3 linked regions of the Ovis aries genome follow. The protein of the gene in region 2 interacts with the protein of the main gene of each other region in a pairwise test. Links are inferred from orthologs where the notes say so. Each region holds a gene or a part of one and is shown on either strand. Other genes may lie near its edges. The genes, in order: CREM, FHL5 and ATOSB.

Region 1 (10,350 bases), on a different chromosome or scaffold from region 2:
TATAGATGAACTATATTCTAAAAGTTTGATGAGAAATTGTTTAGAAGGAAAAATATTTTCCCATGACAAAAACAGTAGAAATAATAGTACCATGAAGCCTATTTAACCCATAAGGTAATTTCTATTGATTGTTCTCCTTGAAGTCTGTTCTCCATAAATAGTTTTTTTAAATCACCCTTTGACAAAATAACTGAACTATTCCATTTAAAATATCAAGGTTAAGAGAAAAAAAAGGTTGAAGAATAGTTCCAGAATAAAGAGATATAAACAGATAAGTGCAATGCATGACTCCAATGGGATAATGGATGGGAGAAGACAGTTATTGAGAATAATGTTGGGAAAATTGACAAAATTTGAATATAAGTCACAGATCAAGCCTGGGATACCATGATAGGAGAGAGCAACCCATGTTGGGCACAGAATTTATGATGGCACAAGAACTCAGTAATCAAAATAAATGACATTTGAATGTAATACTTAAAAAGAATATTTAATGCAAAAATCCATAATGAACATGATTAGATATGTGTTCTAGCTTTCTAAATGAAATAGAATCAGAGAAAGTAAGGAAGAAAGGTGCTTTTGATGTTCTTCTCTAGCAACTAAATGGTAGTCAAAAAGGAAAAAAAGGAGAAACTAAAGAGAGTATGGGCAAAGATGTGGGGGTAGGAGGAATAACAGGAAGCCATAGGTGTGGGGTGCAAGAGGAAGGCAGAGATATAGATGAGGAAGGCACTGGTGTGGATATGGAAGAAGGCATACATGTGAGATTTATGAGGAAAGCACAGCATGACAGAAGGAGAACACTGTACCCATGGTGGACCTAAATGTTGGGAAAGGGAGGGGAGGTGGCAGGTATAAAAAAATCTCTCCAATGAAGAAAGTCAGAGAAGGAAAGGAAGGGCAATCAGACTGTTTCCTGCCTTCATGGGTGGGAAGTATCCTTGCATCCTTGACTGCAAGGATATTGGATATTTAATGATTTAACAGCTTCCTGTGACTTGTCAGATAAAGCTAACACTAGTGAAAGTGGTTTTAATCACCTATGTACTATGCATCTGTGTGCTAAGTTGCTTCAGTTGTGTCCAACGCATTGTGACTCTATCGACTGTAGCCTGCCAGGCTCCTGTGTCCATGGGATTCTCCAAGCAAGAATACTGGAGTGGGTTGCCATGTCCTACTCCAGGGGATCTTCCTGACCCAGGGATCGAACCTGTGTCTCTTATGTCTCCAACATTGGCAGGCAGATTCTTTACCACTCAGCCACCAGGGAAGCCCCCTATCTACTATAGCAATAGAAAAAAAGAATCTAGCTTGAACTGAATTCAACATCAAATTTAGAGAGGCGATTGAGTGTTTTAAAGGAGAATGGAAGAATAGGGAGGGGCTGAATGGGGCTGAGAAGACTCAGGAAAGTGATTAATACAAAAAGCCAGAAGGCAGTATTGGGTCACTTGGATCTATTTGGGCATGTTAAGTGGTGCTTATGAAAGCTCCTAAGGATACAATAGATGCTTTCTGACTGAGGTGCTGGAGAAGACTCTTGAGAGACCTCTGGACTGGAAGGAGATCAAACCAGTCAATCTCAAAGGAAATCAACCCTGAATATTCACTGGAAGGACTAAGGCTGAAGAAGCTGAAGCCACGATTCAAAGAGCCAGCTGACTGGAAAAGACCCTGATGCCGGGGAAGACTGAAGGCAAAAGGAGAAGGGGGCAGCAGAGGAGGAGATGGCTGGATAGCATTATCTACTCAATGGACATGAATTTGAGCAAATTCCAGGAGACAGCAGAAGACAGAAGAGCCTGAAGTGCCACAGTTGCAGAGTCCATGAGATCTGAAAGAGTTAGTCACGACTTAGCAACTGAACAACAGTGATACAGGGTCTCTGTCTTGAGTTGTCACTGGAACGGGCTACAAATGCTTTTCAGCCCCCTCTGACTCGTATTTGCATTTGAAGCCCTCTGTCTGATGGATTCTATCTACAAAGAATGTATACTTTGTTTAAAAAAATTTAGTGATAAACAAGTAGGTGGAGAACAATGTTTTGGGAAGGAGAGTGATCACTGCTGCTGCTGCTGCTGCTGCTAAGTCACTTCAGTCATGTCAGACTCTATGCGACCCCATAGACGGCAGCCCACTAGGCTCCTCCGTCCCTGGGATTCTCCAGGGATTACAATTCCCCATAAATCACTGGAAGCTAAAAATCTATTCTTCCAGCACATGGTCAACCTTGATCAAAACAAAGGTTATGACTTCTCAGGTTTAGCATTCTGGTCTTTTTTTCCTTCTCATTCCTTCCAATGGCTCTCTCTCTCTTTTTTTTTCTGAACTAAAATGAGCTTCATTGATTACTTACGAATAAATACCCTGTGCCAGCCTTACCTCAGCACACACAGGAAAAGGACTTGGTTAACTTTTTTATTAGCTTTGTAATGTCCCTCATTTTTAACAGGAGGAGGAGACAGGCATCGACTATTGTCCTGGAAGAATTTCAAAGCTCTGCTAATGTGGAAAGGAGAACGTGAACCGACCACGTTATTACCCTGTCATCTCTGCTAGCAGGCATTTACTGCTGCCAGTACGTCGGAATGGCAATAATCTGGCACTGAACAGTTCAGGATTCTCCCCTTCCGGAAGAACCGCACTGGGATCCTACTATTTCTCAAAGCTGCCCATCTCCACCTGCACTACGTGGCTTATGCTCTTATTTTCTTTACTCAGCAACTTTTCAAATAGTGTCCTTGATGGCAGTTCTCGGTGTGACCCACTCCTGAGAACCTAAGGTCGGGCGTTGGGTCACCGTTATAACAGGGTTCCTGGTACACAATAGGTGACCGTTTTATCAGCCGGGACCGCCCCTATTACTAGAAAACCCCGGGTTTCCAGCTAGGCGAAAACGAAACTCTCCCCTCTTCCAGGCGGGGGTTTTGCTTGTTGCCCAAAAGCCTTCCTGTCTTCCGCGAAATCACCAAATGGGGACCCCAGGACCCTGACAAGGTCGCCGAGGATCGGGCGGGCGGGGCCTCCGGGGCTCGTGGCCGGAGGCGGCGGGGTGGTGTCCGTAGGATGCGCTCCCGGGCCTCGTCTGGCAGCTGGGGACAATCCAAAGGGAAGCCACTTCGGCACACACAACGGCACCACCTGGGTTAGCAGTTTCCAATGGACTGACTTCCGAGAGCAGGTGCCACCTAGCAATTTCCGGTTCTTTCAGTACAGCCGCAGATCCCGCCCGCAACGCGGTCCTCTTCCCCGCCCAGCCTACTTCCTTCTCCCGGCCCCGCCCCTGGCTCCCTCCTCCCCACCTAAGACCCCTCCTCCCAGGCCCTCAGGCCCCGCCCCTCATCCCCTCCCCCCCGCCCCGTTCCATTCAATTGTTGGATTGTCGGCGCCGCACTCCCACAGGCGGCCGGCAGGGGGCGGGGTTCGAGCGTGGATTTCCCCGGCGTCCACTGGGCAGGGACGGGCGCGGGACGGGCGCGGAGCGGGGCGGGCGGGTGGACGCGCGGACTCCAGGCCGCGAGCGGGCGGGCGGCTGCGACGCCGAGTTGGATCGCGCTCGGCGGGGAGGCCGCGGCCGCATCAGCGCTGACGTGGGGCAACGTGGGCCGGCGGCGGTCCCGGTGGGGCTCGTCGTCCCACCTCCTCGCGTCCGTAAGCAGTGACGAGGTCCGCTACGTAAATCGCTTCGCTGCGGGTAAGTGGCGCGCCGGCCGGCGGGACCCGCGGGGCCTGAGGCGGCGGCGCCGGAGCCGAGGCGGGGCGGAGCGGGTAGCCGGGGGCCGTTTGCCCCGCGCACCTCAAGGGCTTTTTCCGAAGGGCCGCCGCTCCGGCTCCTGGGAGGGGAGGGCCGACGGGCGACGCGGGTCGGTCGGCTTCGCTCGCTCGCCAGAGCCGCCGCCCCCAATTCTCGCTACCCGAGACCCCGAGCGGTGCTTCTGGAAGGCGCGCTACCTTCCTTCCCCGTGCCCCGCTGGCGCCGGGACCAGCCAGCCAGGCGACCGCGGACCCGACCGCGGACTCAGAGGGACGAGCGTCCTCGGACGGCCGGACCTGGATCCATAGTGTGAGCCGCTTCCCTCCCTGCGCGGCTCGGGCAGCGGCGGTCGGCCGGCCCGAGGGTGAGCGATGCCGCCTGGCGGAACCAGTTCGGCCCACACCGGAGGCCCCGTAACCGAGCGGCTCACCCAAGCAGCTTCCGAACACCTCTGGCTTCCCCGCCTCATTCGCCGGGCTCCTGGGAGTGCAGCCACCCTCCCTGCAAATAAACACAAACCGAGATGCGCAGGGCTGGAGGTCCAAGGTGAAGACTGTGTTAGAAGACAGGAAGGTCGTGTTCTCTGGTTATTCCCCTGTGGGTACCACATCTTTGGCATCCATGCTGCTTTTGAGTAACAAGCTGCTTTCCCCTCATCAGTCACAGTCTTTAAATCTTTGACCTTAAAAGGAACTTTTTCCCCACTCAGTTCACTTCAGTTCAGTCGCTCAGTCGTGTCCAACTCTGCAACCCCATGAACTGCAGCACGCCAGGCTTCCCTGTCCATCACCAACTCCCGGAGATCACCCAAACTCAAATCCATCGAGTCGGTGATGTCATCCAGCCATCTCATCCTCTGTCGTCCCCTTCTCCTCCTGCCCCCAGTCCCTCCCCAGCATCAGAGTTTTTTCGAATGAGTCAACTCTTTGCATAAGATGGCCAAAGTATTGGAGTTTCAGCTTTAGCATCAGCCCTTCCAAAGAACACCCAGGACTGATCTCCTTTAGAATGGACTGGTTGGATCTCCTTGCAGTCCAAGGGACTCTCAAGAGTCTTCTCCAACACCACAGTTGAAAAGCATCAGTTCTTTGGTGCTCAGCTTTCTTCACAGTCCAACTTTCACATCCATACATGACCACTGGAAAAACCATAGCCTTGACTAGACGGACCTGTGTTGGCAAAGTAATGTCTCTGCTTTTGAATATGCTATCTAGGTTGGTCATAACTTTCCTTCCAAGGATTAAGCGTCTTTTCATTTCATGGCTGCAGTCACCATCTGCAGTGATTTTGGAGCCCAAAAAATAAAGTCTGACACTGTTTCCACTGCTTCCCCATCTATTTCCCATGAAGTGATGGGACTAGATGCCATGATCTTCCTTGTCTGAATGTTGAGCTTTAGCCAGCTTTTTCACTCTCCACTTTCACTTTCATCAAGAGGCTTTTAGTTCCTCTTCACTTTCTGCCATAAGGGTGGTGTCATCTGCATATCTGCGGTTATTGATATTTCTCCCTGCAATCTTGATTCCAGCTTGTGCTTCTTCCAGCCCAGCATTTCTCATGATGTACTCTGCATAGAAGTTGAATAAGCAGGGTGACAATATACAGCCTTGATGTACTCCTTTTCCTATTTGGAACCAGTCTGTTGTTCCATGTCCAGTTCTAACTGTTGCTTCCTGACCTGCATATAGGTTTCTCAAGAGGCAGGTCAGGTGGTCTGTATTCCCATCTCTCTCAGAATTTTCCACAGTTGATTGTGATCCACGCAGTCAAAGGCTTTGGCATAGTCAATAAACCAGAAATAGATATTTTTCTGGAACTCTCTTGCTTTTTCCATGATCCAGCAGATGTTGGCAATTTGATGTCTGGTTCCTCTGTCTTTTCTAAAACCAGCTTGAACATCTGGAACTTCACGGTTCATGTATTGCTGAAGCCTGGCCTGGAGAATTTTGAGCATTACTTTACTAGCATGTGAGATGAGTGCAATTGTGCGGTAGTTTGAGCATTCTTTGGCATTGCCTTTCTTTGGGATTGGAATGAAAACTGTCATGTTAAGTGATGGTAATGACACAGACATTTTTGGTGCATCTGTAAAATAGTTAAGAGTAAACTAATGCTTGCACAATGACTTGGTCTTCAACCTGGAGTTGCTTTGGTGAGTGTGAAGTTGTAATTACATGGATGTTTTGTGTGCACATTTTGTAATAGTGTATGAATAAATTTTTATTGAATGTGTAAACAAAGAAGAACGCTTTAGTCTTTCTGTTTCCCTATTGCCCCAGAAGCTTTCCTGAAATCTGGTGAATTTAACAAATTCCAGACTCCATAGACTAGTTTCCCACTGAGACAAATCATTGTATGTTTAAAATATGAAATCATGTTTAGAATTAAGGACATTTCATGAATAGTACCATTCCAGTGTTCTTGCCTGGAGAATCCCAGGGACGGCGGAGCCTGGTGGGCTGCCGTCTATGGGGTCACACAGAGTCGGACACGAATGAAGTGACTTAGCAGCAGCAGCAGCAGCAGGGAAGTATGTTCAGGTTAACATACAAAAGGAGTCCTGACTGAATCTTTTATCAGTATAGACATATATTCCTGATCCTGTTTTCTCCACCCTTGTGTTCTCTACAAGTTAATATTGGGCCAGTTCAACTGGGGAATGTGCTCAAATGTCATGGCCTATTTAGATAAACTTTGAAAAATAAAACTGAACAATGCAAATACTTAACAACTGCACCATTGATGTTTTGACATGCAATCAGTAGTGGTCATTAAGGAAATAAACCTGAAATGTCATTGAATCCTGTTAATTTTCTACTTAATGAGACTGCTGTTAACCCATATAAAAGTCAATTTTGAGAAGAATTAGTGTCCTACATTGAATCCAGTTTCAATATTATCAGTACAGGTATATACATTGTAAAAATATAGATTTCAGGGGAAGTGTTTCTCACCCATTATACACATGTAGATAAGTTTGAAGAAACTGAGATATACATTTTAAATCATTTTGTTAATTCCCTTTTAAAGCACACAAAGTATGTAAAATACTTTTTACCATGAGAATTGCACAATAAACAGTGCCCTGTTTTTAAATCTTTCATTCATGGGTTTTCTTTTAATGATGCTATAGGATATCCAGTAAAAAGTAAGAGAGAATGAAGAGAATAACGTAAGGATGACATTACTGAAGACAAGTTGAGTCTTATGGTATAATTCAGTTATAGCAAATTTCAAAAATACCTATTTTGCAAATCTCTTGACTGACCATCCCAGGAGTATTATAGGAAATTATTGGCAAGGTGCACGCAAAACAGTTTTGAAAAGCATGGGCTGGTAAGGTTATTTGGAACTGTTTAAAATAACTGTCTCCCTGGTGAGGAAGGAGGCTTGCCTCCAAGAAAACCTTACTAGCAACTTTTTGTGAGGCTCTCCTGAAGTCTCTCTCCCCAAATGAGAAGCAGCTTCACGCACACTTTCTGAACAAATGTCAAAATGAAATTCTGCTAAATTGTAACAGTGGGGTTCATGTGATTCTAATATTTTTACTTTTGAGGATTCCTGAAAATAAACTCAGTTTCTTCAAAGTTATCTTAATGAACGTTTTTGTTTTTGTTTTGTTTTAAACTCAGCAGACTTAAAATTAGAACATCCTAACTCAGAATGTCAAATGTCATAGAGTTTTGTTCACATTCTCAAACAGCTTCAATTTTTTTCCACTGATAGCACAAAAATTATTTTTTCTACCTAGAAATGCTTAGTAATTTATAGCATAGCATTGATTGTCATGAAAGTTTCCAGTTCTGGCATTGGGACAACTATGTATCATGCATAAAGACACTTGGGATGCTTTTGCATTTCTTAAAATTATTGGAGGAGTGAAGTTTAATTTATTTAGACATGTGTCTGCACTTGGACACTAATTTTGTTCGTATACACAAGATAGGACCAACCTGAGTATCACAACATTGAAATTCATTTCTATAAACTTTAGCTAAATCCAGTGTCTTACCTACTCTTTCCCAAATTTACTAGTTAGTGGTCAATGCAGTTGTACTTTAAATGTAGGTAAGTGTTTTTGAAATATACCTAAAGTGCAGCAATGGAGCATGCTGTTGAAAAACCCTACAGTGATTATTAGTCAAGCAATAACTTCCCCAAAAGACTGAAAGTTTTGTTTCCTTTCATGAATTGGAGCTGGAGCAGGGAAGGGGGACTTGGAGACAAGGAAATAGGCCATGATTATTTGAATTTCATTTTTCATTTCCTCCTTAGCAGCAGATCTGCTGTTCATTGACTGAAATAGACAAAAGCAGGCACCAGGGGGGAATGAATTGAGAATGAGATGCTTGAATAATTTTTAATCCTTTGGTGGTTTTAGTAAAGAGTTAATATTTCTTAAATAATAATAGGTATCTGAGGTGGCTCAGTGATAAAGAATCTGCCTGCTAATGCAGGAGATGCAGGGGACATGGGTTCAGTCCCTAGGTTGAGAAGATCCCCTGGAGGAGGAAATGGTAACCCAGTCCAGTATCCTTGCCTGGGAAACTCCATGGAAAAGGGGGAGCCTGACAGCCTGCAGCCCATGGGATTGCACACCACTGAGTGACTGAGCATGCATACACGCACGCATAATAGGTATCTGAAGCAATTAAACTGGGTGGTCTTGAATCTGTATTAGAATGCTGCTTGATTTTCTGGGTGATTCATGTTCAAAGTAGTAAAGACAGTATTTGCAAGTGTTTCAAATAATTATTTACAAAAACTATTCCTGACCACTTATATTTTTACAGAGAAGTGTAAAAATTGTTATTTGAAGGTTATTCTAATTTTGCTTCACAAAAATTACAAAAAGTTAAAGTGGCATGATTTCCTGTTACTACTGTATTTTTTGTTTTTCCTGTACTCATCTTCACCTAAAAATACATAATAATCATAGGATCATCCCTGTCAACTTCACATATATGGCTTTTGGTAATTGAAGTTGACTCTTGAACAACATGGGGGTTAGAGGCACTAACCCCTGAATATTCCCATATACTTTTTGACTCCCCTAAAACTTAACTAATAGCCTATTATTGACCAGAAACCTCACCAATAACATAAACAGTCAATTGAAATGTATTTTGTATGTTATTTGTATTATATACTATATTCTTACAATAAAGAAGCTAGAGAAAAGAAAATGTTATCAAGAAAACCATAAGGAAGAGAAACATTTATAGGACTGTACTGTATTTATCAGTACTATAAATTGACAAGATGAATCATTTGTCAGTACATCAGTACCATCTTAGGTGATAACAAAACACTGTAGCTGTTATTATGTATTCCTAACACTAGACATCAAAAATGAAAAGGTAATATGAAAAGAAATTTTGTTTCATTTATAGATATAATGATTCATGCATTGACAGTGGCACAGTAGCCTAGGCTATACACTAATGAATGAATCATTGTAGAAATTTATGACATATAATATTACAGTCATTTATAATACAGTATTGGAAACATTGTTACATTAAAAAATCAAAACACTCACCTATCATGACAGTTTCTCCAATTATGAGAGTGAGGCATACTGTATGGTCATGTAACCCTCTGAATGTTATGAAAGAGTAAGAAAACTAACACGCTATATTAAGTGCCTACCACTCACCTTATGCCTATGTTCAGCTAGATTAGAATCTCTGTATATTTTATGCATTCGTGACATACCTTTTCTTAAAAAATATTTTCAATATTTGTAGGCTATGAGTTTCACCTGAGAGTTTTTTCAAATTGTTGCCTGTTTCCCCTAAATTTCCAATATATGTATTGAAAAGAATCCGTATATAGGTGGACCCATGTTGTTTCAATCCTGCGTTGTTTAAAGGTCAACTGTACTTCTCTTTTCTAGCTAGCCTGCCCTTCCCCAACTTTTTAATTGACTTGGTTGAGAAGAACCAGCTTTACCTTATGAACTTCATAGTCTTCTCCTATCTTCTTCCAAACCTTACTGTTGCTACTTAAATCATAGTTAACGTGTGAGGGTCTCCTACTTTCCCAAAGAGCTAAAATCTTTCTTAAACCACAGCCCAAGAAACAGATTATCCATTCCTGTGTTCTCTCTTTTCTTGCTTCCGTTAGAGGTGCACTGCCCTTTTATTCCACATTCTTTTCATTTTGACCATGCTAATTGTGGCGGGACTTCAGTTTTGTCTTTCTTGCAAAAACCATAGTCCAGTAAGGGCTAGAACTCAAGTTGACCCGCAGATCAGCCTGCAGTGCTGTGCTGCGCTGTGGATACCGCACACTGTGCTGCTGTGTATGACCATTAGACCGCACTGCCTCCTCAGGAACTGGGGACAAAGGAAGCGGAGTAAAGGCAGAGGATGCCCAGATACGGTGCCTGAGGTCATGGCGATGTCAGCCTCCAACTGAGGTGAAAAGTATAGCAGGAAGGGAGATGTAGAGCAAAGGAGTTGAGGTTAGTTTTAAATATTTCAGGCTTGAGGATCTGTGAACAAACTATTGAGAGATGTCAAATAGGCAGATACATACAGGCCCAGATGGCGCTGGTGGTACTGCCAATACAAGAGACAAAGGTTCGA
Region 2 (10,350 bases):
AACTATAAATAAATTTTAAAAAAAGAACCCAGGTCAGACTTTTTCCAAATCGTTAAGAAAGAAAGCCTGACTTTTGGGTCTTCAAAAACTGTTTATTCCATTTACATCACACACAAAAAGAAGGAACTACTACATTAAACAGGTATTAAATTTTTTAAAGTTCCCAGTGTTGTGTTTTATCTGTGTTACCAGGCTTGTCTCTATTTGCACTTCTGTTCCTCTTCAACGATTAGTAGTAAGACTTAACCTGGATGTATGTTTGAAGAGCAGGAAGGAAGGGATTATACTGGGGTGTGATGGAGGAAAGGGAGGACATGGTGAGTTTCAATCCTTGGCTCAATAATCTCCTGGATCCTGTAAGACAACTAAGTACAAAGAATAATAATACAAATCTTAAAAATTTTGTGTCTTGCTTTCAAGGTGATGGCAAGAATCAACAGTTACAGTTCAATACAGTGTTTGGAGAGCAGCAAGCAGAGGATGTAATGGGAGAAGAAAGTCAAATTGTATTGCACTGCAGGGAGGGGAACTGAACCAGCTGGAGGTGACTCTTGAGAAAAGTAGGACTAGCCTGGTAAGGGCATTTCTGGGCAGAGAAAAGGAGATTCCAGACTACTAAGATAATATGAAGAGAAATTTTGGAATTCCTAAAGTATGAGAAATATGAAAAATGATTTGGGAAGTAGTGTAAGAAGAAGCTGGAGAGACTAGAGGAGGAGGAATCACAAAATGGCTTACATGCTAAGCTGAGAAGTTAGCCATTCTCCTAAAAGCAAGAGGTTGCCTTTAAAGATGAACCAGGGAAGCGAGGTGATTGTCTTTTAAAAGGATCATCCATTCTGAAAGGCAGTTTGACAGTTTGCCAAAATCCTTTAAAATGTATGTATTACTTGTGAGATCAATGTCTCCTGAGAAGTAAAATGTGAACTTAAAAACGTGTACAAATCTTTTCCCCCCAGCCTCTGATAGAAGAGAAGTGTGGATGATACATCTCTCAAGGAAAGGAGGCAGTCTTCCACCAAAGAAAAGTCCTTTCTCTGACTAGTCAAGCTAAGACAAAATCCCCACAGGTTTTCTCCTTTGTCTATTATTCATTATAAAGAAGAAAAAATCATTTTAGCAAATTGTTTTCCTACTAAACTGTCTTACTAGTAAAGTGCAGCCTTAAATTAAATGTTTAAGTTTAAATTAATGAACTTAAGAGTGTTCTATTTTTTTTCTTCTCTCTTTCCCACCAGAATCTAAGTCTTGTGAGTCATAAATTATAAATGCTGAGGCTAAGTTTTGATGTTGAAGAAAACAGATCATAGAGAAAAAAAGAGGAAGCGTTATTCCATCACATACTTCATTATGCTGCAGCCATTATTTGCAGCCACTTCAAAAATATTTGATTTGGAAAATCACAGTATATTAAGTAAAAAAGATATATGCAGTGTGGTTTTGATTTTCTTATTAAACATATTTAACTATAGCTGTGTAAGTATTTGCATGAAAATTCATAAACATTTCCTGTATAGCTACATGTATGCATACAGAATATTTCAAAGATATTTGAGTGAATTGTGACTGTCTCTTGGATTGCAAGTCATTTTAAACAATGTTTTTCATTATTTCAGACTTTCTGCAAGAAGCGTGTATTTTATAATTCCATAAACATATCTTTAAATATTGTTTTATAGTGATACAAAGAAATTATAGAAAGGGACTAGATTGAGGCAGACGCCAAATGTTTTATGACTGATAACAACAATCCAAGTGAGAAATGCGAGGGCCAGAATGCAGGGATAATGACAAATCTAGGAAATATTTAACAAAGTAGAACCACCAGAAGTTGAGGATGGGGATGGTGGAGACTAACTGAGGAAAGTGAGAAGTCCAAGGTACGATGGGTTAGGTGACGGTGCCATGTCCTGAGACAGGAAATGCGGCAGACCTCATCTGTACAGTGGGAGGTGGGGAACAGATAAAGGTGTTTGTTTGGGATGCCTATGGACCTCTGTGCAAAGACAGCGAAGAGACCACAGGATACAGGCCTAGAACCTTAGAGAGCAATACCAGCTGAGAATACAGGTTTAGCAGTCATAATATATTGCTAATTGTTTTCATGAGAAAATCCATGGAGAGGGTAGAGAAGCATTCTGAACTGAGAATGAAATTCTAGGGAAGAGTGAGGTGAATAAAGGGAAAGGAGGTTGAAGATGCTAAGCCCAAGGAGAAAATTAGGAGAGAATGACTTAGTGAAACCAAGGAAAGAGAGTTTCAAAAAGAAATGGACATGGCAGAGATGAGAAATTTCAGGTAAGATCAAAGACAGTTACTCTTTAGAGTGTTAACTAAGATATTTTATGAGCTTAATGGAGCTATGTGGAGTAGTTTGAGAATGGAGCAGGAGGATCTTAGGTTGGATGCGTGAATGAAGATTACCCTCTCAGGAAAACACGGGGGCAATAAAGAGGGTTCCATAACTACATGGGGACATAGGCGACTTTATAACTCCTGGACTCTACTTCCTCACCTTTAAAAGGAGAAAATTAATGCCGGTCTATCCGTGGCATCATGAGAATTAAAAGCTATTACTAGTAATAGATTTTATGTTAGATTGAATTTTTATAATAGTTTGAATGTTCTTTTGTCCTTTCACTGAATCAATTTGTTGCTGCTCATCACAATGTTTTCATTTTTATAATAACTTTATCATCAAAGTCAGGTGAATAACAAGGCACTGAGTTGATTGCTTTTATATATTTCCCTAGCTCAGGTTTTTTGATTGTATGTAACTGAGTTTGACCTCAGAAAACACTAACATATTTCTTTGGCACCTGGAACAAGGACAGGTCAAGTTTGGTCTGGGAATAGATGGAGTTAAAGCAGAACATTTCCTTCCTCACCCACCTTTACAAACTGAAGAAATGGCCTTAAACAGAGAGATTAAAAGTAAATGTCACCTGCTTTACAGATAAATATGACCCACAGAATTCCTGTTGTAGATTAGTTCAGTATTCAAACATTTCTTTAGATCCATCTCCTGAAACATCTGGCCACTTTTTAAGTTTTGATTTCAGATTTCAAAAGGCTGAGTCTGTGCTTAAGTGAAGTCATACTGCCATGGGCATGACGTAACAATTGTTGCCAGCTCAGAGGGAAAGAGGCAGAAGCAGGGAATGCCAGGTCCACAGTACAGGTGCAAGAAGCAGGTTAACTACTTTGAGTTATCCGAGTCAAGTCTAAGGTTCAAAGTTCACCAGTTTCCCAGGAAGGCAGTGATAGAGGCCACACCCCACGATTCATCTCTCAAGCTACGAAAAACGCTACAGGTGAGAACATCAGGCCTCATCTCTTTCCAGATATTTCAACAGAAAATCTCTGTAGTTTGTCCATTTCTAACCTATAAGAAGATCTGATTTTAGCTCAGTTGGTAAAATACCCGCCTGCAATGCAGGAGACTCCAGTTTGATTCCTGAGATGAGAAGAACTCCTGGAGAATGGATAGGCTATCCACTCCAGTATTTTGGGGCTTCCCTGGTGGTTCAGACAGTAAAGAATCTGCCTGCAATACAGGAGACCTGGGTTCGATCCCTGGGTTGGGAATATCCTCTGAAGGAGCGCATGGCAACCCACTCCAGTATTCTTGCCTGGAGAGAATCCCTGCGGACAGAGGAGCCTGGCAGGCTGCAGTCCATGGGGTCGAAGAGTCGGCCATGACTGAGCAACTAAGCACAGCACACAGCAACCCATAAGAAGGATTCTGTCACTGAAATAACAGCAACAACAACACACACACACACACACACAAAACAGGAAATACATCATCCTTTATAGAAAAATTTTTTTAATTTAAATATACCCTCAATTTAGACTATGCAGTGGGAATTTCTTGAGTGTATGTGAATGTCTGTATGTACACTTTATATTTTAAACTTTCTGGAGATTATCTAGACGTTTCATGTACTAATTCTGGCAGGATTTCCCTTTAAGGATGTCCCGCAGAGAATTTGCTACTCATAATTTTAAGTAAAAATTGACGAGTGCTTTTTCAGCCCAGTAGGAGTCAGCTATGTACATGTCACAAGACTTGGAGGAAACCCACACACCCTCCTATTTTCTTCCACAAAGTTAAAAAGGCTGCAGTTGGGAGGGACCCTCAGATAGTTTTGGTGGCCCATTCTGTACCTCTTGGAGGTAACATATGAATGTGTAAATCATCGTATATTCTCCTTTCATCCTGTTTAAACTGTTGGAAGAGGCTTTAAGAAAAAGTAAGTTTTGTTTTCTTCTCCTTAATGTTGTCTTTGCATTTCTAATTTTTTTTTTAAGTGTGGGAGAGTCTTATAAACTTTCTCATTGCTACTTAAAGGAAACTTTGTGGTGACTTGGTTTTACTTGGCAAGCAAGATATATCTTGAAGTTTCTTAGAAACTTTTTAAAAGGCATTTGAGCCAGCAGTTATCAAACTTTATATGCTGAGCTTTTCAGATTTCTCAATTTGATGCCATGTGTATAAAGGCAACATAGTAGCCAAATAACTCTTGAGTTGTCTCCTGAGTTCTGAAAATTGTCTGTAATTGGAGATACAGCTTCATTGTATTCATAAAAAAGGGAATGACTTGATTCTGGGGTTTTAATTGGCTTAATTTATTTGAATGACTAACTTTATCACTAAGGATATTTTATGGCTGGATTTATATATCCAGAGCACAATTTAAAGTCATTTACAGATTTTGAGTTAGTGAGATTCCTGCTATTAAAAAAAAAGAAAAACTGCCTATTTTTCACAAGCAGGCATAAAGACAATTCCTAATCTTAGGCTTTCTAAGATTGAATTAAAATATCTGTGTGTCTGACCCATGTGTAATATGCTAAATGAATCTAAAGCATTGCTTCTTGAAACTGAGATAGTATCATGAAAGCAGAAGTATGGTTCCCATATGTGTTTATACTTTTTCCCTCTCTAATCAGATTCTTTTTGGTGTCTGTCATCCATTTGAAAACCAAATGCAACACCTCAACTTGTCAATTTGGGTTTTGGAAATGTGGGAACCAAAAAGAATCATTAATAAAATGTGTAATTCTTATAAATAAAATATAACAAGTCATTTTAGCTGTCATTTCACATTCACAATATTATCATGTATAGGTTCTAGGATTTTTATTAGCAACATACATGGGTTAAAATTTAGCACAAACAATTGCAGATATACACATCGCACAGGATATTTATTAACATGTTTGTTATGATCTGTGCCTAAAGCCATACTCCAAACTGCTTGGTGGGAAAGGTAAACTCTGACATCTGTTTTCTACACTTGTTCTATTTATTCCCATGTGTTGTCATTAGTTGCCAATTCTGGGACTGTTCTACCTAAACAAGAGCAGCAGATTTGTGCTTTAATGTAACATCACCTCACTGACAAATCTACCTCTTATTTTTATTATATTTGCCAACAACATTCTGAGTAAAGTTGGATTAATTGGGGTTCCTTAAGCGAGGCTAGCAACTTTCTACTACAATATTGAAGATAAATTTTTTTCTAGAACATGCTGCATAAGCTTAGATTTGTTTTTTCACATTTTCAATCTAGGAAATGACCTCTTTAGAATTGGAAACCAAATACTTGGGTTCACATGCAAAGTTCTGAATCAGATGTCAGTTAAACAACCTTACATTTCCATGTTCTTGTAATTCTCATTATCCTTTCTGATTGTCATCATTTTTCTTGGTTACCTTTTGGCCCCCTGGAAGGAATTGTGAATAGGAGGGGAAGGAGAAAGAGGATACGGGACTCCCTCCTACCATAACAGCTCGAATCCCTCCAAAATTATCAGCTTGAGCACTATCTCCACATTAGACTTGGGATCACAGATTCTCTTAACAATCTGAGAATCAACGGACATGTCTCAGAAGGAAAAAAGCACATTGTATATAGATTTTTTTCCCTTAACAGTTCTGGGGTTGATATACTCTTGAAACCTGTTCTTGAGTATTCTTGAGGTGTCCTGATTAGGAACTACTATTCTCCACAAAACCTGGAGTTGGTGGGTTTATGCAATCTTTAAACGGATTAAGGTGGAAGTATGTCTGTCTCTCTCAATTTACCCAAGGACAGGTAAGGTTAAGGCAAAGATTTTAGCTGAAGATGACATTTAAGGGCTAATTTTTGAAGCAGATACATAATCCATAGTCATACTTGTTCTGGATAGCATGTCTACTGATATAAAAGTGGAAGATTCAAATATCATAAGTTTCTTCTGTGGAGACTAAGGCTTAGAATGGAAAGGTGATAGGACTAAGCCTCTAGAGACCCCAGAATGTGGAACAGGTGACTGAAGCGGGGCCTCCCTATTCTCTGGCCATTCTCCCAAATCCCCATACCGACCTATTGGTAGATTGGGGCATAAAAGGAAAGATCTAAACCAGTGCCCATTATCTCATCTCCTCTACTTCAGGGATCCCGGACTTTAATCTCTCCTCCTTTATTGGCTCCTCTCTTCAGCATTTAAGCATATTCAAATCCCCCATCTTGAAAAGCTTCTGCTTCATTACCAAGCTTTTCCAGTTTACCCTCATTCCTAAGCTTTATAGATCAATATTCTGAAAGTATTGTCTACACTGTAAAGAATCCCCACTTTCTTAGCCCTCACTTCTCAGTCTATTGTTGTCTGGCTTTGATCCTCATCAGTTTTCCCCAGCTCTCACTGAGGTGATCAATCACTAGTGTATTGCTAAATCCAGCAGAAATTTCTTTCTTATTCTCTTTGTGCTGTTTCAGAACCATTTTACCTTCATCTCCACTTTTCCCATCTTGAAACACTCTTTACCCAGAGCTTCCATGATGTCCAACTGCTAGTTTTTCTCCCACCTATGCTCAGTCAGTTTCACAGATTCCTCTTCCTCTTCCCTATATCCTAGACTCCTTTTCTCTTTCTGAGCAATGTCACAGCTTCAGTTACAGTCTATTCTATATTCTTAGGAGTCCAAAATCTTTATGTCCAGCTAAGATATCTTTCCTGAGCAACAAACCTCTATGTCTGATTGTCTGCTGAATATAGGACTTCCCAGAGCAGGTGTAGACCTTAGTGAATACAATGGAGTAAGTGGAGGGACATGAAGGGCAAGCCAGGTAGAAATTTTGCCCTATAATTTGCCCTGGGATCCTTTTCAAAATGTCCAAGGAATTTGTGTGGTTTCCCCGCACTCACTCTTCGGACCTGACTCAATAGCTCTCCTTGACTTTCCCACAGTCCTCTCAAGTCTCATTTTAATCTAAAAGTAAACTCATCAACCACCTCTCATACTTCCCACCCTGCTTCCCCTAAGTATCCTCGTACAGAAAATAACACCATGATACAACCAGTTGCTCAAGCCAGAACCTGGAGGTGAACTGACTCCACCTCTCCCTCAATTTATATACCCAAAGAATCTCCAAATTCTGTTGACACTACCTCATCCACTCACCAGCTTCCCTCCTCTGTCACTGCCATAACCCTATTTCAGGCTGCCATCCTCCTTTATTTGGTGAACAGTAGTCCTTTCATGGGTCTCCCTGCCTCCAGAATTGCCTTCTTTGGCTTCACTCCCCATACTGAAGCCAGAGTCATTGACGTGAAACTATTGGTCTAAAAATAGATTTATTTTGACTATCTCTTACTTCAAGCCTTTTCCTGACTCTCCACTGGCCTTAGGATAATGTCCAGATTCCTTCTCAAAGTTAAAGAGAAGTCGCAGAGTTCAGTGGGTTACAGCAGAAGTCCCCAAACTTTAAAGTGCTCAGGAACCACCTTGTTAAAATGTATATTCTGATTCTGTAGGTCTGGGTTGGTGCCTCAGTTGTTGCATTTTTAACAAGTTCCCGGGTGATGCTGATAATACTGGTTCATGGACCATACGTTTCATGCTAGATTGGCTGGAGCTCAAATCTCTGTTGTATTCCTCACTAAATCTGATAACTTAGAAGAGTCACTTAGTGCGCACACAAGTGTGCATGTGTGTGTCATTGTCCTTTCATACGAAATGAAGATCCTGACAGTGTAACACTTTCTCAGGTTTAAAATGAGGAACAAATGTGTTATATTAAAATTACAACAGTGTCTGGCACAGAATAAGTATTAAGCACAAGTTATTTTTCTTACTAGTTAAGACTCTGAATTGGAGAAGGAAATGGCAACCCACTACAGTATTCTGGCCTGGAAAATCCCATGGACAGAGGAATCTGGAGGGCCACAGCGCATGGAGTTGCAAAGAATTGGACACGACTGAGCAACTGAGCCCTGAGCACAAGACCTTGAATAATTTAGCCTCTATCAGTTCAGTTCAGTCACTCAGTCATGCCCAACTCTTTGCGACCCCATGAACTGCAGCATGCCAGGCCTCCCTGTCCATCACCAACTCCCAGAGTTCACTCAAACTCATGTCCATCGAGTCGGTGATACTATCCAGCCATCTCATCCTCTGTCGTCCCCTTCTCCTCCTACCCCCAATCCCTCTCAGCATCAGAGTCTTTTCCAATGAGTCAACTCTTCGCATGAGGTGGCCAAAGTACTGGAGTTTCAGCTTTAGCACCATTCCTTCCAAAGAACACCCAGGGCTGATCTCCTTCAGAATGGACTGGTTGGATCTCCTTGCAGTCCAAGGGACTCTCAAGAGTCTTCTCAAACACCACAGTTCATAAGCATCAATTCTTCAACGCTCAGCTTTATTCACAGTCCAACTCTCACACGACTACTGGAAAAATCATAGCCTTGAGTAGACAGACCTTTCTTGGGAAAGTAATGTCTCTGCTTTTGAATATGCTATCTAGGTTGGTCATAACTTTCCTTCCAAGGAGTAAGAGTCTTTTAATTTCGTTGCTGCAATCACCATCTGCAGGGATTTTGGAGCCCACAAAAATAAAGTATGGCACTGTTTCCACTGTTTCCCCATCTATTTCCCATGAAGTGATGGGACCAGATGCCATGATCTTCATTTTCTGAATGCTGAGCTTTAAGCCAACTGTTTCACTCTCCTCTTTCACTTTCATCAAGAGGCTTTTGAGTTCCTCTTCACTTTCTGCCATAAGGGTGGTGTCATCTGCATATCTGAGGTTATGGGTATTTCTCCCGGCAATCTTGATTCCAGCTTGTGCTTCCTCCAGACCAGCATTTCTTATGATGTACTCTGCATATAAGTTAAATAAGCAGGGTGACAATACACAGCCTTGACGTACTCCTTTTCCTATTTGGAACCAGTCTGTTGTTCCATGTCCAGTTCTAACTGTTGCTTCCTGACCTGCATATAGGTTTCTCAAGAGGCAGGTCAAGTGGTCTGGTATTCCCATCTCTTTCAGAATTTTCCAGTTTCTTGTGATCCACACGGTCAAAGATTTTGGCATAGTCAATAAAGTAGAAATAGATGTTTTTCTGTATCTCTCTTGCTTTTTTTATGATCCAGTGGATGTCGGCAATTTGATCTCTGGTTCCTCTGCATTTTCTAAAACCAGATTGAACATCTGGAAGTTTATGGTTCACGTATTGCTGAAGCCAGGCTTGGAGAATTTTGAGCATGACTTTACTAGCATGTGAGATGCATGCAATTGTGCGGTAGTTTGAGTATTCTTTGGCATTGCTTTTCTTTGGGATTGGAATGAAAACTGACCTTTTCCAGTCCTGTCGCCACTGCTGAGTTTTCCTAATTTGCTGGCATATTGAGTACAGCACTTTCACAGCATCATCTTTCAGGATTTGAAACAGCTCCACTGGAATTCCATCACCTCCACTAGCTTTGTTTGTAGTGATGATTTCTAAGGCCCACTTGACTTCACATTCCAGGATGTCTGGCTCCAGGTGAGTGATCACACCATCATGATTATCTGGGTCATGAAGATCTTTTTTGTACAGTTTTTCTGTGTATTCTTGCCACCTCTTCTTAATATCTTCTGCTTCTGTTAGGTCCATACCATTTCTGTCCTTTATCAAGCCCATCTTTGCATGAAATGTTCCCTTGGTATCTCTAATTTTCTTGAAGAGATCTCTAGTCTTTCCCATTCTGTTGTTTTCCTCTATTTCTTTGCATTGATCACTGAGGAAGGCTTTCTTATCTCTCTTTGCTATTCTCTGGAACTCTGCATTCAGATGCTTTTATCTTTCCTTTTTGCGTCTCTTCTTTTCACAGCTATTTGTAAGGCCTCCCCAGACAGCCATTTTGCTTTTTTGCATTTCTTTTCCATGGGGATGATCTTGATCCCTGTCTCCTGTACAATGTCACGAACCTCCGTCCATAGTTCATCAGGCACTCTATCTATCAGATCTAGGCCCTTAAATCTATTTCTCACTTCCACTCTATAATCATAAGGGATTTGATTTAGGTCATACCTGAAT
Region 3 (10,350 bases), on a different chromosome or scaffold from region 2:
TTCATAAAAATCATCCAAAACTTGGAAACGCTGCAAAGAAAAGACATCAGGGGCAGCCAAAGATTACCCAGGCAACAAACTTTTGCTTTACTCATGATGTGTTATTAAGGGCTAACTCTGCGTACTACCATGTGTAAAATAGGCAGCTAGTGGGGAGCTGTTATACAGCACAGGGAGCTCAGTTCGGTGCTCTGTGATGCCCAAGAGGGGCGAGAGGGGAGGCAGGGTGGGAGGGAGGCTCAAAAGGAAGGAGATATATGTATAGATACAGCTGATTCACTTTGTTGTACAGCAGACGCACAACACTGTAAAGCTCCAATAATAAATTTTAAAAAGGAAATTACCCCCCAAATAAATAAACAAACAAAAATTAAAGGCTAATTCTGTGAAGTCATATGTTAACGAATAGATTTTTGTCTGGTGATGATGCAAAGGATTTCTGATTATTAGAAAACGTTATGGTGTTACTATCCTGTAGACACTAACTACCTTTATATCTAATCTAAAATCTCATTTTAGCACTCTTTTTTCAAATGCCTGTGAATACCCAGGATGGTTAATTTTATGTGTCAACTTAACTGGGCCACAGGGTACCAAATATTTGGTCAAACATTATTCTGGATATGTCTATAAGGATGGTTCTGAATGAAATTAACATTTGAATAGGCACACTGAGTAAAGCTTCCTTTACTCAGGAAGGGCTTCCCTTGTGGCTCAGCTGGTAAAGAATCTGCCTGCAATGCCGGGGACCTGGGTTTGATCCCTGGGTTGGGAAGTCCCCTGGAGAAGGGAAAAAGCTACCCACTCCAGTACTTGGTCTGGATAATTCCATGGACTGTATAGTCCATGGAGTCCGAAAGAGTAAGACAGGACTAAGCAACTTTCACTTTCACTGAGTAAAGCAGATTGCTCTCCCTAATGTGGTGGGGCGGGGGAGGGTCCTCATCTAATCAGTGGAAGACCTGAATAGACAAAAGAACTGAAGAAGAGAATTTCTCTCTGACTGACTTCCTTTGAGCTGAGACATTAGTCTTTTTTCCTACCAGTGGACTCGAACTGAAAAATCAGTTTTGCCTGGGTCTTCAGGCTGCCGGCTTTCAGACTGTAACTATACTGGCATTTTTCTTGGTTCTCAGGCCTTTGGACTGGAACTGGAACTACACCATCAGCTATCCTGGGTCTCTGGCTTGACAGCTTGGGACTTGTCAGCCTCTGCAATACTGTGAGCCAACTCCTTATAATAAAACCTCTCCATTTGTATATCCACATATACACACACCCGGAACTCTGACTAATATAATCCCTAATTTCCTCAATTGCTCATCACACATGCTTTACCTGCTTATCTTTGATATATGTTCATTCTAGCTTCTTGTAAGAATCTTGCTCTTAACTTTTTGGAAATTGTACTATAACAGTTTTTGTAAAAGTTTCTGGTTCAACTAAATAACCATATGAGGGAAAAATGAATCTTGACATCTATTTCACACTATACATGAAATCTATTCCAGATGATTAAATAAGAGGTAAAATAATAAAGTTCCTAGACAATAACCTAAGATAATACACTCATTTCCAAGTAGACAAAGACTTTTAAAATAGGGCATAAAAACCATTGAATATAAACAAAAAGATGTAAACTGGACAGGTTAAAGAAGCTCTGCATATTGAAAGACTCCACTAAGAGAATAAAGTCAAGCTACAGAATGGGAAAATGGATTTGCAATAGATTCCTCATCAGAAAAACATCAAACAAATTCCAGCTGAAAGACATTCTACAAAATATCTGAAATATCTGATCAATAAAATTGTCTATAAAATTGCCCAGATCATCAAGAACAAGGAAGTCTGAGAAAATATCAACGCCAAGAGGAGTTTAAGGAGACATGAAAACTAAACCTAATGTGTTATTCTGGATGGGACATTAGGTAGAAACTAAGGAAATCAGAATAAAGTATGGACTTTAATGATAATGTATCAGTTCAGTTCAGCTGCTCAGTTGTGTCAGATTCTTTGTAACCCCATGGACTGCAGTACGCCAGGCCTCCCTGTCCATTGCCAGCTCCCAGAGTTTACCAAAACTCATGTCCATTGAGTCAGTGATGCCATCCAACCATCTAATCCTCTGTCATCCCCTTCTCCTCCTGCCCTCAATCTTTCCCAGCATCAGGGTCTTTTCAAATGAGTCAGCTCTTCGCATCACGTGGCCAAAATATTGGAGTTTCAGTTTCAACATCAGTCCTTCCAATGGACACCTAGGACTGATCTCCTTTAGGATGTATCCTAAATACATATTTACATGTATTGATATATATAATGTATCAATATTGGTTAATTAATTATAGCACATGTACCATACTAATGTAAGACATTATTAATTGTGGAGAACAAAGCAGAGAATTGAGTGTGGGGTACACAGAAACTTTCTGTACTATCTTCACAAATTTTCTGTAAATCTAAAATTATTCTAAAATGAAAAGTTTATTTTTAGGGATTTTCCTGGTGGTCCAGTGGTTGCCCTTAGCCTTTCAATGCAAGGGGTGTGGGTTGGATCCCTGGTGGGGAGCTAAGATTCTGATGCCTCCCACCAAAACATCGAAAACATAAAACAAAAACAATATTATAACAAATTCAATGAAGACTTTTAAAATGATCCCGATAATAAAAAACCTTTTTAAAAATTTATTTTTTTAATCTAGTAATTTACCCAAATTTAGCTAGTAATCAAGTAATTTGCCCAATACAGCTAGTATAGTGTCCTTACCAAACCAAATGACTTCAAATTTGAGCTTTTTCCATGACACAAAACTCTTCCAATTTTACCCTCTATAAGGGGACGACAGAGGATGAGATGGCTGGATGGCATCATCGACTCAATGCATGTGAGTCTGAGTGAACTCCGGGAGTTGGTGATGGACAGGGAGGCCTGGCGTGCTGCGATTCACCGGGTCGCAAAGAGTCGGACACGACTGAGCAACTGAACTGAACTGAGCATTACAGAAGTATTAGAAAGACAATCTGAGCAGTTCCGTAAGAGCAGAACATTTTTTTCTTTTTCTGTTTTCATTTTGCCTAGCGCACCATTGGTGTTTAGTAAAGCCGCTTCTTAACTACTCACAGAAAGAAAGTCACAGAGATCTAAAGAATCTGAGACTTTGAGATAACTTTACCAGGTCCAGTCCATCACACAGCCATCAATACCTCCGACTCCATCGAGAAGCTCACTAGGCTCTGGGCTCAGAGCCACTCGGCTCTGCAAGGGACCTGGGATGCCATCTACCGGTGGCTCGTAAGCGTCGCTCTCCCCTGGACATATCTTGGGAACTCGTGGGGCTCCCGGGAAGTTGAAGACTCAAGCGCTAATTAAATTACAGAACGTGTGTAACAGTCATACAGGTTCAGTCGACTGAACAAAGCAAAGGCTCTACTTTGGCTCATAAAATTCACAGACTTCTCGCCGACCTACCTCCACAGCTATAGACCTAACTCTTACTGCCTGTCTCCTACACGCCGTAGGCTACAGAAAGTGCTCTTCCTCACAGACTTGAGACCCCGGCCAACCAGATTCCCGCATTTTCACAGAATTCTGAAGCTCTTTGCACTACTTTGCAAACCCTACAGATCTCCCCCATTAGGGCAAATACGCGCGCTAACCCAGATGCCTTCACTAAGAGGCTCAAGTTCCGCAGGCAGCTCACACCAGCTCGAAAGCCTGGGATGGCTCCAACCTGGTTCGGGCGCCCACAAGCAAGCGCTTTGGCGCAGGTTCTGGCTCCCCATCTCCGGCCGGATCCGGTCAGCCCAGGCCGCACACTGCGGACTGAGGCCCCGCCCCTTTAGACCTGTCATCACAGAAGCCGCACGTGGCCGGGGTGGGCCCTCAGGCGACCTGCAGCCATCACTTTGTCTCCTCCGCCATCCACTGGGGCCACCGCCGCCAATCAAAACCAGCGGTTCCGGGCTGCAGCGCCAGCGCCGGGGTGAGGCCAGCCAGAGAAGGGGCGGGGGGAGGAGAGGCTCCGAGATGGGAGGGGGCTAGCAGTGGAAGCGAGCCTGGCACCGGTTCTGCCAGCCTGGAATCCGAGGGGGCGGATCCTAGTGAAAGGCGAAGACCAGAAGGGGGCGGGGATCAAGGATGGGGCGGGGACCGGGGTGGGACGAAAGACAAGCAGAGGTTCTCTGTGGAGACGCCAAGAAGACGAGAAGGGGAGGAGCCAGAAAGGGGCAGGACCTGAATTACAGGGGAGGAGCCCCAGGAATTAAAGAATCTAGGAAAGGGGACGAGCCAGGGGAAGGTGGGAGGTGGGACAACGGAGAGGGTGGGTCGTGTCGTTGCGGGGGCGGGGCTCGGACCAAAGGGGCGAGGTTTGCAGGCCGAGGCTGCAGCTAGGGCAGCTATGTAACTGCTCCAATCCACTACCTCCCCAGTTGCAACGGGACTCGCGGAACTACAGGTGTGGGGCGGGTGCGCGTGGAAGAATGGACAAGTACGGGGGTGCGCTTGGGTAGACGTGAAGCGGGAGGATCATGTCAGGGAAGGAAAAGATCTGGAGAAATGCTGGGGTGGGGATGGAGTAAAACAGCTGGAGGAGGAGGAGGGGGGCTCACTGGGCTAAGAGGTGCTTTCTCCGGTACCCCTTGTGGGGGAAGGGCGGGAGTGCTTTGTGAGGCTGGGAAGTACAATGTGAGGGGGTGAGGTGAAGTGAAGGGTTGGAGATGATACTTGAGGGGGAGGGGATATGAAGGCGCTTTAGGGGAAAGTGGAGGGGGCGTTGTGTGATGGAGATCGGCTAGTGGTCCAGAGTGTGGGAGGGACTGTGTGGAGGAAGAAGGTGTGGGGGCTGTGGGCACTGTGTGAGGGGAAGGGGTTACAGGCCCCAGATGAGGAGGGGAGAACCCCTAGTGCCTTGAGAAAGTCTGGAGGCTTTGTAGAGACTCCAGGAAGAGGTTTTTGTACAGTGTCTCAGGGATGAGGGTGATGGGATTACTCGGGTGAAGAAGCCAGTCTGCAGTGTTCCTGGCTCCTCAGCTCCTAACTCCACCTTCAGGCCTGAGCACTCAGAGAGGATGCAGGCCCCACTTGCTACTAGAGCTTGTGTGACTGTCTCAGTCAGCTTTGGATCTGTCTGGCTGAGACTGGGATATTTTTCCCTTAGCTGGTGTCCCTGGGGACCCTTCCCCCCTTAGGTTCTGGGTACCCCTCACTGTAGTTCCTGTTCCTCCTAGAAGCTTGCCTTAGTCCCTGTCTTTCCCCTCCTCCCCCAGTTTGCCCTGCCCTTATGCTCTGGGTGTGCTCATTTCCCACTTCCTTCCTCGCCTGGGGCCTGGCCTGGTCCTTGCCTGTCTAGGAGCTGTGCCCTGCCCCAGACTTTGTACTCAGTGGCCAGAGACCTAGGTAACCAGCAGCAAGGCCCAGACCTCACCCTCACTGCTACCAAGGTCTCTCCCCACAGCCCCCCAAGTGAGTGGTAGATACCTTTTTACCACTTGCCACAAACTGATTTCTGCACACTTTTCCTTCTCCTGGGTAGGGAACCCTAATTCCCTCAAAAACTCTGGGCTTCTGTGGGAGAGGGAAATGGTCAGAAGTACTGAGGGTCTGCGATGCATGCTTTGAGAGGTCAGCCACTATTGTTGGCTGAACTGGGAAGGGAGGTTCCAGTTTCCACTGGGGGAGGGACAGGGAATGGCTCCCCACCCTCCTGGGTTGGAATCTGACTATCTGAACCAGACTAGGGCCTAGTCTCTGATTCCCTGAGGCGACTTGATTTAGCGCCAGACTTCTTTTTGCCCCTGGGCAGGCTGCAAGAGGGTGAGAAAGCCCTGCTTTCCACACCGTGGCTGAATGAGAGTGACAGTGTTGCTGAAAGGGGCCCCAAGCCAGTCTCCTCTGGCTGAGAGACTGGCTGGGGAGGGAGGGGGTGCCAAAGCCAGACAAAGCCGTGGGGTAGGGTGGGGTAAAGAAGGGCAGGCTGAAGCCTTTTGAGGAGGAGCTGATTGCTATGGCAACACAGCTTCCCAGATTGTCTCTCAGAGAGGCGGGCTTAGGGCGGACTCACTCCAGCTTCCTCAAGATTGTGGCATTTGTTTGAGTGGGTGGGGCATGAAGAGAAAGGGCATTGGTTTGCTATGCAGGGGCTGGAGTATATAGACTTTCTACTTCCTTACAAGCAGCAGAGCATCCAGATGCTTGGACCCATCCTCTGAAAATGGGTAAGAGTGAACAATAGCCATTAGGATTATAGCAGTATAAGGTCAGAGTTCTAGAGGCCTCAGTGGTAACTGTGTATACAAACTCATTTTACAGATTTGGAAATTAAGAAAGAAGAGACTGATATTTTCTCCAGGTCTCATAGTGAAAGACCAGGCATTGGGACCCAGGTCTTCTGAATACTCTTCACTCAGCCCAGGGGTCAATGTTTCGTTGAGCCAACATTTATTGAGCACCTATTATGTGCCAGGCACTGATACTGATTCTGGGAGTACTAGCATGAATACAACAGAGTTGCAGCTCTCATGGAGCTTGTATTCTAACCCAGGGAGAAAGAAATGTGTGTGTGGCTGCAGAGGGAGAGAAAGGAGAGGGAGGGGGAAAGAGGAAGAGAAGTGCCAGCTGGTGATAACTGCTATGAAGAAAAATAAAGCAGAGTAAGAATTTAGGGCAGCTAGGTAAAGCCTCTTGATTGTACAACGCTGCTTGCTCTCCCAGAGCACACTGAGGCCTAGGACGTCTTTGATCCTTCCCCCTGAACTACTGCCCCTAGACTTTTGCAGATGACTAAGGTCTGGGCCTATGGTCTTGGCAGTTAGATAGAACACGGTGGGGTCACCAAGGGGTTACTTCTTTCCTACAGTGTTGTATGTCTACCTGTCTTCCCAGTAAGCTTTTACTAAGGTAGGTAGGCTCTTAGATTGCTACTCTGCAACTTAGTTCAGGTTGTTGAAAATTCCCTAAATCCTGTTCCTTAGCATTAGGGAACCAGCAAGGAAGTCAATCCATGGCAACTTCTTTTTCAGGGTTTTCCCCCTGGTTTGAGATGAAGAGAAAGGAAGCTAGAGGAATTGTTACTCTTTTGTCCTTCCTAAGTCCAGGGCACAGTGAGGAAGTAGGTGAAGAGAGCCTCATTCTACTGTTCAGTGACAATTTCAGGGCCCTTGGGGCCTGCACTACAGGCAAGGTAGAAACAAGGACCTTGGGGCTTTGGTGGCATCTGAACTACAAAAGAATTCACTCCGCTCTTCCAAAGATATGGCCAGGGAGCATGCCCTGCCTAATGCCAGTTCTCCAGGGCCTCAGTTTGGGTCTTCCCTTCTTTGGCTCTGGTGTTTGGCTCTTTTTCCTATGGAAGACCCCAGTCTTAGCAACCTCTTAAGTTCCAAATTGTCTGACTTCACAAGTGCAGAGGGAAAAGTAGACAGGACTGTTTCTTTTCTTAGCTTGCCCATAGATCAGCCCCTCTAAAAAGTGTCTTTTAATGTCTAATCCTTGCAAAGGTTTCCATCCTGCTCATTTAAAGAACAGGGCTTCCCAGGTGGCGCTAGTGGTAAAGAACCCACCTGCTGATGCAGGAGAGACATAAGAGATCCCGGGGTCAGTAAAATACCCTGGAGGAGAGCATGGCAATCCACGTCAGTATTCTTGCCTGGAGAATCCAATGGACAGAGGAGCCTGGCGAGCTATAGTAATAAGAGAATATGAATTAGGAATGCTGGTTCTGCTGCCACTTAATTTGGTTGGGTCTAAGCTGGGCTTGGGGCCCAGTGACTCAGGAGGAGGGTGGGGAGTTTCGAGGGAGTTGTGAGTCATGGGGGTGAGCTCTGTCACAAGAGTTGGGCATGTTTCCCCTTACTTTGGGCAGAAGCCTTCCGATCTCACTTTCCCTGGGTGCTCTGCCTCCTTGAACAGGGGCTTATGAATAGAAAGAGTACTGGCAGAAAGACTGAAGCAGTTTGATCTGAAAATGAAAGTTTAAAGACATAATGATGTCTAGGTTCCTGAACTAAAATGTATCCCTATCTCAGGAGCCCCTGAAGCCTTCTAATGTAGGCAAAACAACATCAATATAGAGTAAAAGAAGGAAAAATACCATTTCTCAATGGAAGGAGATGAGATCCCTCTTCAAGACCTTTTTATCCTGGCACGAAGGAAGCTTCCTGAGCTTCAGCAGCCCTGTGGTCTCTGGTTTGCAAGGCACGGAGAGATGATGGGAGTGGGGATATTTGGAATCTAGTGTTGGAAGAGCAAGCTGACTTTGGGGATTGTCGAAATTTGTCTATGAACTCCCTAGGCCGTCCTATTAACCTTCCTCTGAAGAGGAAGGGCGCGGTGAGAAGTGGGAGCCCGACGTCTTTGAAAGGGTTAAAAGGCAGGGCTGAGAGCTGCTTTGGACTCGGGCAGTTGAGGGGTTAAAATGGGCGGGGCAACCCTAGGTAGGCCTGCCCCCTTATGGACCAATGGACAGGCATCTTTTGAAGGGGGCGTGCCTCACGCTTGAGGCCGTGTGGAGGCTGGCCTCCTTTAGGCCAATGAGTATGGTCGCTGCGATGGGGGCGTAGCTTGAGGGGGGCGTGGCGGCCTCGAAGGCTGCCGCGGGGGTGTGAGGGGAGCTGGGCGGGGCGGGCTGCCCCATCAGCTGGTAGGAAATGGCCTGTGAGTCAGAGGGGCAGCGGAGTCGGCTTCGCGGAGCCGGGGCGGCCACGGAGAGGGACAGTCGCGGGGAGGGGCGCGGCAGCGGCTTGGGGGCTGCGGGCGCCAGGACCCGCTAGTGTTGCCCAAGAAACTGAGCAGGGAAGAACCTAGCAGTGCAGGACTCAGCCTGAGCCACCCTTTGTCTGGGTTGGGGGCCCGAGGCGGGGAGGACCGGGCATTCGAGGGGAGGGACCGGGACTGGACGGAAGGGCCCGGAGCAGCGGCGCCGCGGCGGAGCCAATTTGGGAACGGGGTGAGTTTGTGGTAGGGGAAAATAGAAAATCTCCGAAGCTCCAATAGGGAATGGGGCCTGTCCCAGGTTGTGAGGAGGAGAAAGGTGAAGCAGGACCTGGGAGGCTAAATAGGAGGAGAGGGAATCGGTCAGAACAAGGAGTCTTAGAGCCCGGGTGCTGGAGTGAGTCTCCTGGGCTCATTTTGGAGGAGGTGCTAAGATTTGCTTCCTCTCCAGGAAGGGTGGAGGGCTCTAGGCCAGAGGCAAGGGGTTGGTGAGATAGCAGAGGGTAACCTGCCTACCCACAGTAGTAGTCCTTGGGAATGGCCTCCCTAGTTTGTAGATGCTTGTGAGGACAAAATGTAGAGCAGCTGGTAGCAGTCCTGTCTGAACTGGGTGAATGTGGAAAGCACATGGAGAGGAATTCTTCTTGCCACCTTCCTTGATCAGGGTAGAAATGGATATCTTTAATACTAAAGGGAAAGGGAGCGTAAGCCTGGGAGCTCAACACCCACCTATCCCACCTCTCAGGCCTAGCAGGTGTCTGAAGGTACAGACCCCATGGTATTCTGGGACTTGTTGTTTTTGCTGGCCTTGCTCCCTTGGCATGTTGGGAGCTGTAGTCCTTGCCAGCCACAGCCTGGCACAGCTGTTTGATGCCAGCTGCTGCCCACCCCTTCCCAGAGTGAGATTTGGCCTATCCTGCCCCTCCCCCTCCCCAAGTCCTGCCCCATGAGTCAGCTTGAAGCCATGGACTAGAGCCAGACTGGCTGGGTGGCAGGGAAGTGAGTCTTAGAGCTTTTCATTGACAGGGCAGGAACTGAGAGGGCTCTGGGGTAAAGAGCAGATGCCAGTCATGCTGGGGTCAAGTAGGGCATCATGTCATCATGATGCTTCCCCAGGGCAAGGGCTGAAGAGGTCAACTGGGATGACCTAGGGCGTGCTAAGGAAAAGGCCCTTCCTGAATCTGTACAGCGTGGGTAGAGGCAAGGAGGGAAGAGTTGAGTACAGGTTGTACCCTCTGACAATGCTGCCATTGGCATCCTGCCCTTTCCAGACACCCCACCCACCACAGGGAATCAGAATTTTCTTAGAGCTTCTAGTTCTAATGAGAACTTGGTGAAACAGGATAGTGTAGGGTGCAGTGATGGGAACTTGGTGTAGGAAAGCTTTTCAGTCCCTGGATGCAAAGCTTCTCTTTTCCCCTGCCTCCCGCCCCCATTTCTGTTGTCGCTGATTCTCCCCATACAATTAATCTCCCTGCTTCTCTCATGTTGGGAGTTCTTCTCTGCACTGTCTGCTGCCCAGATCTCTGGGGCTTGCATTCTACTTTTTTGAGCCCTGCTATGTGCCTACCCTGTGCCTGGAGTCAGGCAGAGGATTCAAGTACAACCTGTCTTCAAGAACCCCATGGTCAGTCTTACCTACC

What was found.
Region 1: the proteins of FHL5 (region 2) and CREM interact in a two-hybrid assay, tested with the Homo sapiens proteins (2 studies listed by BioGRID). The link is inferred for Ovis aries from reciprocal best matches to the Homo sapiens genes FHL5 and CREM.
Region 3: the proteins of FHL5 (region 2) and ATOSB interact in binary tests that used the Homo sapiens proteins (3 or more experiments, as listed by UniProt). The two-hybrid records come from large-scale screens. The link is inferred for Ovis aries from reciprocal best matches to the Homo sapiens genes FHL5 and ATOSB.

Annotation. Positions count from the first base shown.
Region 1 is NC_056066.1:17,618,906-17,629,255, reverse strand, and holds the start of CREM (cAMP-responsive element modulator), read left to right. Parts: upstream 1-3,464; 5' UTR 3,465-3,697; intron 3,698-10,350.
Region 2 is NC_056061.1:40,493,750-40,504,099, reverse strand, and holds the start of FHL5 (four and a half LIM domains protein 5), read left to right. Parts: upstream 1-4,143; 5' UTR 4,144-4,256; intron 4,257-10,350. UniProt on the Homo sapiens protein: May be involved in the regulation of spermatogenesis. Stimulates CREM transcriptional activity in a phosphorylation-independent manner.
Region 3 is NC_056055.1:53,358,173-53,368,522, forward strand, and holds the start of ATOSB (atos homolog protein B), read left to right. Parts: upstream 1-3,863; 5' UTR 3,864-3,980; intron 3,981-4,354; exon of another isoform or gene 4,355-4,495; intron 4,496-6,082; exon of another isoform or gene 6,083-6,213; intron 6,214-8,631; exon of another isoform or gene 8,632-8,942; intron 8,943-10,350. UniProt on the Homo sapiens protein: Transcription regulator that may syncronize transcriptional and translational programs.